Danio rerio: one gene and its partners. The protein of the gene in region 3 binds, or shares a complex with, the protein of the main gene of each other region. Links are inferred from orthologs where the notes say so. Each region holds a gene or a part of one and is shown on either strand. Other genes may lie near its edges.

Evidence for each region. The genes of interacting proteins can lie anywhere in the genome.
Region 1: mcm3l (region 3) and gins4 share a complex: the UniProt entries of both Homo sapiens proteins name them as parts of the CMG helicase complex. The link is inferred for Danio rerio from reciprocal best matches to the Homo sapiens genes MCM3 and GINS4.
Region 2: mcm3l (region 3) and gins2 share a complex: the UniProt entries of both Homo sapiens proteins name them as parts of the CMG helicase complex. The link is inferred for Danio rerio from reciprocal best matches to the Homo sapiens genes MCM3 and GINS2.

What each region holds. Positions count from the first base shown.
Region 1 is NC_133183.1:62,250,887-62,254,541, reverse strand, and holds part of gins4 (DNA replication complex GINS protein SLD5), read right to left. Parts: intron 2,316-3,655; coding exon 2,229-2,315; intron 2,112-2,228; coding exon 1,998-2,111; intron 1,797-1,997; coding exon 1,699-1,796; intron 308-1,698; coding exon 219-307; intron 1-218. UniProt on the Homo sapiens protein: Required for correct functioning of the GINS complex, a complex that plays an essential role in the initiation of DNA replication, and progression of DNA replication forks.
Region 2 is NC_133193.1:32,044,771-32,048,425, forward strand, and holds part of gins2 (DNA replication complex GINS protein PSF2), read right to left. Parts: intron 3,159-3,655; coding exon 3,044-3,158; intron 2,964-3,043; coding exon 2,864-2,963; intron 1-2,863. UniProt on the Homo sapiens protein: Required for correct functioning of the GINS complex, a complex that plays an essential role in the initiation of DNA replication, and progression of DNA replication forks.
Region 3 is NC_133195.1:6,685,499-6,689,253, forward strand, and holds the start of mcm3l (MCM3 minichromosome maintenance deficient 3 (S. cerevisiae), like), read right to left. Parts: upstream 2,504-3,755; 5' UTR 2,385-2,503; coding exon 2,313-2,384; intron 2,206-2,312; coding exon 2,093-2,205; intron 271-2,092; coding exon 62-270; intron 1-61. UniProt on the Homo sapiens protein: Acts as a component of the MCM2-7 complex (MCM complex) which is the replicative helicase essential for 'once per cell cycle' DNA replication initiation and elongation in eukaryotic cells.

The DNA.
Region 1 (3,655 bases), on a different chromosome or scaffold from region 3:
TTTTTTACAGTCGTTGTTCGGGGGAAAAAAAAATGAATCACTGATTGAATCACCTGGGAGTCGTTAGGTAATCAGGTAAAAATAAACGCATATTATAAGACAATGAAGGTGTTTTTTGACCCTATATGCAGATCAGCCTGTTGTTGGAGACCCCCAAATCCACAACATGACCTTTTAATGCATAATAGGGGCTATTTCAATACAGAAGTGTTTCTCACCGGCCTTCATCATGTCGACGCTCTGCAGGTTTGGTGGCATATGTTTCAAAGCCACGGCTCGCAGGTAAACCTCTGTGTTCGCCAGATACCTGAACACACACACACACACATTGAGTTTTCATGTTTATTGGGGACTTCACCATAGATGTAATGATGTTTCTATTGTATTTACTCTTCCCCAACCCCACCCTCACTGGAAACAATCTGCAAATTTACATCTTACAAAATACTTCATTCTGTCTGATTTATGGGCCACTTTTCCTCAAGGGAACCAAAATAATGTCCCCACAATGTCAAAATGTACTGGAATTGCTGTATTTTATTGTCCCCATAATGTAATGGATATCAGGTACACACTCATTCACACACGCACAGAGACAGACAGACAAACACACACATACACACAAAGACAGACAAACACATATACACACATACACACACACAGACATTTACACACACACTCACACAAAGACACACACACAGATAGACACAAACACACACACAAAGACAAACACACATAGTCACAAACAAAAAACACACAGACACACACATACATAGACAGACGTGCACACACACATACACGCTAACAAACACCCACACATACCAGACACACACACACACACACAGACAAACAGACAGACACACACACACAGACAGACAAACACACAGACACAAACACACATAGACACAAACAAAACACACAGACACACACATACATAGACAGACGTGCACACACACACACACACACACACACATACACGCTAACAGACACACACACACATACATACCAGACACACATACACACAGACACACAGACAAACAGACACAAACACAGACACAAACAAAAAACACACAGACACACACACACATACAGACAGACGTGCACACACTAACAAACACAAACACACACACATACATACCCGACACACACAAATACATACATACATAGACATGTACACACACACACACACACACAAAATTGCAAAAAGACACACACACACAGACACACACACTAACACAAACACACACATACATACCCGACACACACACACACACACATACATACATACATACATACATACATACATACATACATACATAGATATGTACACACACAAACAAAAATGCACAAAGACACACACACACAGACAGACACACACACACAAAAACAGACACACACAGACACAAACAAACACCCACACACACAAAGACAAACACACACACACACACACACACACACAGACACACGCAAAGACAAACACAGACACAAACAGATGCAGACACACACATACATAGACAGACGTGCACACACACAAACAAACAGACACACACACACACACACACACACACACACACACACACACACTTAAATTCTCTCTCTCTCTGTCCTCAATCGCCCTCATCATTCGGTCCAGAAGCGTCTCTCTGACAGACATGAACAGATCCTCAGTGCGACAGTCGCAGATTGCGCTGAACTCACTCTTTAGCGAAGGCGAACTCTTCAGGAGACAGGAACGAGGGGTCTCCATCAGCACGGGACTTCTCCTTCTCCAGAACATGAGGGAAAAACTTCTCGATCTGCAGACGAGAAAACCAGACGTGGACACAACATCAGCCTACAGAACAGATCTGGTGTGAGTCCCGACTGGCGTTTCAGTGTGGAGTTCGCATGCTCTCCCCGTGTTGGCGTGGGTTTCCTCCGGGTGTTTCCCCCACAGTCCCAAACACATGCGCTATAGCGTACTGCCAGTCTTTCTGAATAAATTACGCTCGATTTACCTTCTTGAGTCGGGAGCGCAGGAAGCTGCTGAGAACGAAGCGGATGCGGTCGATCTCCATGCGGTGAACACTGGCCTTCAGGTCTCCTTTCCTCACACGCTGCAGGTTTTCCTCCTAAATCACACCACAAGTCATGATCGATACTGAAACGGTCAATCTGACTCGTCTACAGGCTAACATCCGTCACGCAAAGTTTAATCAGACTGAGAAACACTGCAGACAGACTCATACCATGTGTGTGAGCTGCTCCATCACACACTCCACCAGCTCAGACTTGTTCTCCAACAGTTCTGGAGAAAACTTCTCATTGAGCCAAGCCTGAAACACAAGAGACGCTCATTAGGAGACACTGTTCATCTACTCTGTGATGATGCTCACATTAAAACTGCCTCAAACTAAGCATTAACGAGTACTTTGAGCAAAGGCTCCTGGGGTCTGTTCTTCGTACGTGGATTACTCAGTTAGCTGGATTTGGATATTGATGATTTGACACGATCCAGGATCGTTTCGTTCTTCAAAGCTGATCCGAGAGTTGTTGTCATAGCAACAGTTCTGCTAGGTCAAACCTGGTCGGGAGCAGGTTCAATTCATATAAACAGGATTAGATCGGCTCAGTTCAAGCAAATATAATACAGAAAGTATGTTCTGAATTCTGATATTTTCTTACAGTAGTAGTTATATACACTTGGGAAAATGGTACATATTTTTAACTATATATATATATATATATATATGTATAAAGTTATAGTCATTAATAAAATAAATAAAGTTATACATATTAATAAAACTTATGCAATCTGCACCCTCGAAATGAAAGTACAAAGACTGCCACCTGGTAGTGCGAAGAGAAAACTTATTGATATGAACTTTTTAGATCGCTTTAGTACAAATTGTGTATAATAGAAATGCAGAATATGTTACTTTTTTTAAAGCAATAATACATTTATGCAGTCATAAACATGTTTTAATAGTTAATATGCCATGGATTTGATGCTTCACAAAAGTTGCAGACACCTTTACCAATATCAAAATGCTTTTGTAAACAACCAGTTATTCTTTACACCGATTAAAAAAACAACTACTATAATAAAGAAAATCTTTTCTAAATGTAGAACTAAATACATTGATTTGCATTGAAATACATGATGAAGTGTAAAGCCTGCAGCTCACAACAAATGTGGAAGGTTATTGCGTGTCATATTTAACAAGCCGTTTACTGCTAATTTGATGTAATTTTGCTCACATGGATAATTGAATATTAATCAGATGATGTCATTACGCTGCTGTGCCGTCAGCCAATCGTTGCATTGCTGATCATGATTTCGAGGATGGATAGATCTTTCCTTTACAACACACGCAGCGATCTCAGATCAGTTTATCCAGACATTCTAATCTGATTTGCGAACTTGTTTGAAGAACCAAATTAGCGAGAGATCAGTTATCAAGATTAAAAGATCCAGGATCTGCCAAATCATCTTAGATCATTTAAGCGAGGTAAGAAGAACGGACCCCTGCACTCCGGGACGATTTTGGTTTGCGTTTACAGCAGTGGCGCAGTAGGTAGTGCTGTCGCCTCACAGCAAGAAGGTCGCTGGGTCGAGCCTCGGCTCAGTTGGCGTTTCTGTGTGGAGTTTGCATGTTCTCCCTGCGTTCGTGTG
Region 2 (3,655 bases), on a different chromosome or scaffold from region 3:
ATAAAATTACATTTCCTTTTTTATTGTATTTATTTACAGAAAAATTTATAAGAAATAAGCAAACAACTTAAGGGGCCCTATCATACACCCGGCGCGATAAGTCACAAGACGTGTTTGCCCCGACGTGTTGCTATTTTTAGACCAGCGCAACCTTAATTTTCCAGTTTTCTGCCGCATTGTTTAAAAAGCAAATCCATTTGCGCCACTTTGTGGACTCATGGGTGTTCCGCTCCAGAAAACAGGTGTGTTAAGGCACATTGTTTGGTGTTGTTTAATTTGAGAAACTAAAATAGACTGAGCATTAGACCAGCTGAAAGGTCTAAAGTCCAGCACAGAGCGAGTCAGGTGTCCACCTCGCTTACACATTGCTTAAAACCAAAGGAAGTACAACTATACACAAATATCTGTACAACTGAAAAAGAATTAAAGGATTAAAATATTACAAAAATTTGAATTTTCTACATAAACATATAAACCTTCATACCTTTATCTCGGGAGGCTTTTTTCAGTTTATTTACAACAACTTGCTTTTTAATAATGTTATAACTATTAGTAGTATTATTTATTATATGCGCATTATATTTGTTTTATTAAAAAGATTTGTCCATCTGTCGGGTTTTGGACCATATGGGGCATAGCACGTGTGTTAGTATATAATTCAGTTTTTTTGACCACACTTTGTTATTATTGTTCATTTATTTATAGCTTTAGACTTCGTGCCTAGATCGTTAAAATAGAACCCTACACTTCTATAACCTCACGCATGAAAATTCAAACAACATTTATGATGATGTCAAAAAGAAAAAGTTCTATAAATTGTCCATTCTTTGTTCATAAACTTGCTCAACATGTGATGCTTCATATTTGTTTATTTTTGAGTTGTGCATGTACATAAATAAAGGTGTTGTTTAAACCTGTATTGTTTATATCCAATAGGTCTTTAAAAAACTGCATTTTAAAAAAAAAAAAAATCAAAAATGGCTCTTTGCCGAAAAAAAGGTTCTCAACCCCTGCTATAGACTGACGATACTCCGGGGAGAGGCTCAGACCAGGCGTGAGTTTCTGCAGATTTTGTTTGATTCAAACACTTAGAAATACAAACTAAAGAGACCGTTCTTGTTTAATTTTATTGGCGATTCCTAATATGGAGTTTAATCGTAAGCGTATATCAATATGGCGAATGAAGCCCCACCTTCTAGTGCAGGTGCCAATTATTGATCGCTATAGACTGATGATTCCCCGGGGAAGGGGCTTAGGTCAGACATGAGTTTCTGCAGATTTTGTGTGATTCAAATGTTTAGAAATGAAACTAAAGTGACAGTAGTTGTTGTTTTATTTTATTGGTGACTCCTGATATGAAATTTAATCTTAAGTTTAGCAAGCAATTTTGAGCATACTGCCCGAGAGCCGTTTCAAAGATGGCACCAACAAAGTTGGTGGTTCATTCCGTTGTGGTGACCCCTAATTAATAAAGGAACTAAGCCAAAAAGAAAATGAACGAATAAATAAAATGCAGTGTATCTGATGCTTTAGATTATGCTATCTACATACATTTGTATATACTGTAGAAAGTAGGGCTGCAACCGTTCAAACTTCTCACAGTTCCGTAAATATAACAGTTTTGGTATGATATGTGCTGTTTAGAAAGAAAAATGGCTCCAAACAAATTTAAAAAACAAATTGAACACCTATTTATTGAATAACGGACATCTAACAACTCAACTTATAAAATATAAAAATACAAGCAGTTTTTGTCCTCCTGCAAAAAAATAAGTAAATAAAAAATTTAACATTTTAATCAAAGATCTGTATAGTTTTCAAAATTAACATAAATGACCCAGTGTAAGCTATTTTATTTTAACAATTATAGGCCAGGGTTTTGCAAGAAAACCAGCATTTGTTTTTTTTTTGTTTGTGAATTTACATTGAGTGACTGAAGGCAATGTACTGTGTTGTGGTCCCACTTGCACTTTCGTGGTTTCTCTCCTTCACACAGACACGATATAAATTCAAGAACTCAACACACTGAGATGTGAGGAAAGTTGACGTCAGCGGAGTGAGTGTGGTAGAGAGTTCCAGAGTTTGGGTGCAATAACACTAAATGATCTGCCCCCCATTGAAGAGAGGCGGTACCGAGGGACAGCGAGAAGGCCAGAGTCAGCGGAACGTAATGAACGAGTTGGGGTGTAGGGGACAAGTATGCTGCAGAGATAGGAGGGAGCTAGGCTATTTAGGGATCTAAATGCAAGGAGGAGAATTTTGAATTTAATGCGATAAGCAACTGGGAGCCAATGGAGGTCGTACAAAATTGGGGTTGTGTGAGCAGAACGTTTGGTATAAGTGGTATAAGGAAAATACGTACTGTTTCTCAATTCTAAAACTGTATTTGCACGCAATTGACAAATAATCACAGGAAAATTAAACTTTAGTAACAAGGCAGCAGTGGCCCGATCGGGCCAGTAACGATCCTGTCTACTGTCCCGAGCATCTCACACGCTGGCCCCGGGCCATCGGGCAGTCCTTATTGTTGAGCCCTGTAATCTAAAGTGTACAAGGCAGTATTGCTGCAGTTGTTTTTATCCCCAAACCAAAATAAAAAATGTATATTTTTAACTGTGGATCACAGGACACACCAAATCATAGGAGGATAACAGGACATTTCACATTTTACCGAGAACCCCAAATAGTGAAGGATTTAAAGATCGTTGTCATTTTAGTGGCGACACAATTATATGAACAAATAGAAATAGATCCGTTTTCACAATTATGCATCATGCATGAAATGACCAGGTGTAAACAGCCTCAATGAGACACACTCTGACATTACATTAAAAAACAAGGCTGAAGGAGATCTGATACTCACTGGTTGAGTAATAATTTGGTCAGCTCCATGTAATATGGATTTGGGATGGGAGTAAAAGTGTCTAATTTCCTCTCCTGTTCACGGATGTCTTCTAGTTTGTCTGAAAATGAAAAGATCAGCAGCGTTTAGAGCCTGCCTTCAGAATAGATGGTGTCCCAGCACAGACAGACTGAAACTCACCTGTGTCCATCCATTCTGGAGGAACTATCCTGCATTTCTGCCGTTGTTTAAGATTGAGGGCCAACCAGACAGGAACTTCAACAGGCAGACCTGGGTTGAACGGGCCTAAATCTCCCTGGAAAAATTAATCAATAAATCAGATACATACTCAAGTAGCTAGCTGTAAGTGACCAAAAAAGTATGGTCTAAACAAAACCTGTAATTCAGAGATGGCACAAAACATGCTATCTTAATCCCCTTTCCTTTATTTCAATTTAGTCCATTATTTATCATGGATCGCCACAGAGAAATGAATCCCCAACTATTCCAGCAAATGTTTTATGTAGCGGATGTCCTTCCAGCCACAACCCAGTACTAGAAAACAGCCATACACTCTCACATTCACACACACACTCATACACTACAGCCAACTTTGTTTAGCCAATTCACCTGTACCACATGTCTTTGGACTGTGTGGGAAATCGGAGCACCCAGAGAAAACTCCACACAAAAGGTGGGACTCAAACCAGTGACCTTTTTGCTGTGAGGCGACTGTGCAAACCCCTGAGCCACCGCCCAATAAGCCATATGAATAAAGAATTTAACATTAAGTATATAGGACATTCTACCAGA
Region 3 (3,755 bases):
TTTTCTGTTTTGGACGAAACAATTGCTTTAATAAGTAATAAGTAAAGTAAATCTTACTCACACTTGGTCACGATGCCTTCCACACACACAAGGTTTCCCAGAAAGCGAGCACTCAGAGTACGAGGAGACACATGTTTGTTCCCAAAACTGCCCTCGAAACCAACATGAAACTCCTCAAACTGCTTAGCATAAGTGGCATCTATTGAAGCCACGAGATCCTTCAGGGCTTTCTGAAACGCCACCAGCTCAGCGAAAGCATTCTTCAGTAATCTATTAAAAAGAGACACTTAATCAGATCAATAAAGATTCAAGGATATACACTCAAAATTACATTTGCCGCTTCCACTACTTATTTAAAATAAGCTGAAACAACACAATTCAAGCTTTTTTGGGGGAAACCTAACAGTTTTATGTTAAATCAATATCCATTTGTAAAAACTAATAGGTTAACTTATTTTCTTCGAGATGTTTTAACACAAATTGATTGTGTGAAATCCAGCATTTTTTACAGTGTATGGGAGAATGGGGGCAACATGGGGCAGTTACAACAAGACTTATTTCTCCATTAAGGAATGAGCTATGGAGGGATGATATTCATACTACATATTGTCAGTTGGATCCTTCTTCCATCCAAGAGAAATCAGCCATATGTGACCATTTCTTCAGTCTAAAACTCATTTTAGGTATTTAAAAAAAAAAAAAAAAAAAAAAAATAGTTTTTTGTAATGATCAGAAAATTTCTCATACAGCCCAATCTGTTTTTGTGAAACATTATTCATTTGTATAATTTAAATCACTGTTTTCATAGCTTTAAATAGGTATAGCTATCAAGCGTTTGTAACAAGCTATTGTATCTCTCTAGCATGGAATGTTTAATCAAGGTTGACAGAGTTGCTGAACATGCTTCTGTAACTGTCCCCAATTGTTATAAAATTCATTTGAAAGCTTGCCATATTAACAAATGTACAATTTTATTGATCACAGTTTTAATATAATTTGAAAAAAATATTTGATTAATTAATTCATGTCAACATTCTTAGTAGTAGTTTGGTAAAGGTTCAATCTTTCAGTAAAAAAAAAAAAAAAAAAAAAAGTTCAGTTTTTTTAGGCCTTATAATTGGATGTTGCTCGTTTTTTTTTTTTTTTTTTTTTAAGGTTTTGTATTTATATGGCCAACACATTTAATAATTTAACCAATTTTCATTTAGTGGGTTTACCAAAAAATAAAATCCAACTCGAGGTTTTAGATTTTTTTTAAATTATAATTTGAATGAATGTTGCAATTGTCCCTTTCTTTAAGTAATAAATGAAGAATTTATTAACATATCTACACATATTATAGCAATATGGGTGCCTGTCCAACAGAAGTGAGTTTATTGTTTTAAAATTTTGGGGTTCCACAAAAAAAAAATAAAATTGTCTTCGAGAAACTGAAAGAATTGCAAAAAGTGTTGCAACTGTCCCCACTCTCCTCTACAGAGAATTTTCATCACACATCATCAGTCAGCCATATTGGAAACACAGAACGTAAACAATGTGACTGAACTGACTGAGAATCATATTATTTGCTTACTACTGCTGAAAATGATCAATTGTTTTGGGCTTTGCTATTAGATTGTATTAGAATACTGAAAGCCATGTAAAGTCAAGCAGAAGAGAGAAAAAAAAGCTGTCTGAAGAACAAAAAGTGTTTGTGGTTGACCAAACTAATTCACGATTTCCATGGCAAGAATCTTGATAACGTTCATGTTTGTTCTTATAATTTATGCTCAAGCGAGTGTAACATTAGGCTAATCTGGTCAAATGTATCCTTTACCACATGTTAAATCAAAATGCTACACCATATTCTGCTTTAGTAAGTGATTTAGCAGCTTCCATGTTTTTTTTTTTTTTTTTTGTATATTTTAGACAGCAGAGCAACATATAGTACATCAACCATGCTGTTTACACCAGAGTTTCACATGTATCTGGCCACATGTTTGTTACTGACCAAATCCCGAAGAGCAAACAACGTTAAAGAAAAAATCTAAAATTGTCAAAAAAGCAAAATATGAAACAAAATAGACAACTTTTAATCAAATTAATCACTTACTCTTTAGCTCTTTTTTCACTTTTTCTTCTCAGATCATTAATGTTGACAATGAGACGACACTGTCCATCAGACACCATACTCCTGACCTTTTCATGGTAGATGCCCTGATCTTGCTGTAAATTACAATAAAAAAAGATTTAGTTTGACAGACAAAAAACAAAGTTTATACAGTTCAAAATGCCCACAAGTCAAACACATAAAGATTATTCAAATTATTCACATCATCATCCAGAAAGTCCAGATATTCCCTCTGTGACTCTCTCAGCTCGAGGTCCTCTAACCCAGTATCCATTTCTCCTACACGCGCATCAGCATGTGCATTACAATATTTTAAAATAACATTCACAGTTCAACAAAAATCAAATGCACAAACATGAAGCAACCAAACCAAGCTGGTGCAACAGGCCTGACAATCAATTATGTTAATTAGGCTCATTAACTTGAGCATGTGATTATCCAACTGATTTGAATAGAGCTACCCCTATTTCGAACCATGCTTTCATTATGGTAAAAAATATAACAGATAACCATGTGTAGCCTATATCACGTTTTTACTGTAAATACAATGGTTAAACTGTGGTTAGTGTAGCAAAATCATGAATAATTCGTAATTATCATGTTTGTTTGTTTTTTTTTTTTACAAGTAACCATGTTTTATTTGTGTAATGGTAGCTGGACCCTATTAGCAAAATAGATTCTCCTGAACGCTTCTTAAAATGCTCGAGTCAAAAGGACAATGAATGCGCTAGACCCCCTTTGAATTATTCCATTCTTTTATACTGTATTTGAAGCTCTTACAGTGCTCTTCAGTTATTTTACTCCGAGCTGCTTGATACTGTTGACACTCACACATACTGTAGTTGCATAATACGCACATAAATTAGTTCATTTTCGTTTGTTACGACATTCCAGGACGAAGCCTCAGGCTACGGCTCATATGGTTTTATAAAATATTCATTCACGTTTTGGACGAATCTTCCTTTGCTCGGTTCTCTGCAAACAAACTCCTGAAGTGTCTGAAGGCGTTCCTCTTCGGTGACTGACTTTACCATTCAGCAAATAGGATTTGAGTGCGCGCTGTGAAGGCGTGTTTCATTGGTTAGACCTGAACGATTACGCCCCTCTCTATATGTAGTTCCTCAAGCTGGAGAAAAACTGCTTGTTCAGCTCTTATCTGGTAATATATCTAATGTCTGAATCCAATATTTTACATACTAATCAGTTAAGTAAGGGAGCGGGGCACAAAGTAACACTTTTTGGCTTTGGTCAAATAATAAACAAAGGTTTGGGGTTAAACAAACCATTTGTTTTTTTACCAACAAAACACAAGCCTCTCCTACAAATGAGCTCTGGTTGTATAATCGCCGGACTATTGTTTCTTTGCAGTGTTGCCAAAAGTGCCAGGAGTAAAAATGTTACTATTTACCTCACTTCAAGTTGTAACAGACAGGGTTAGTTGTAACACATGCTTAAAAAAAGGCAGATTACACACAGTTTATTTAAAAATTTAAAGTTTACTTTAAATAGTAGCTATATTTTCTCAGTACCTAGCTCAATTTATTTTTTATTCTACACAGCACAGTATGTTTTCCAGAGATGGGTTGCGGCTGGAAGGGCATCCGCTGCGTAAAAACTTGCTGGATAAGTTGGCGGTTCACTCTGC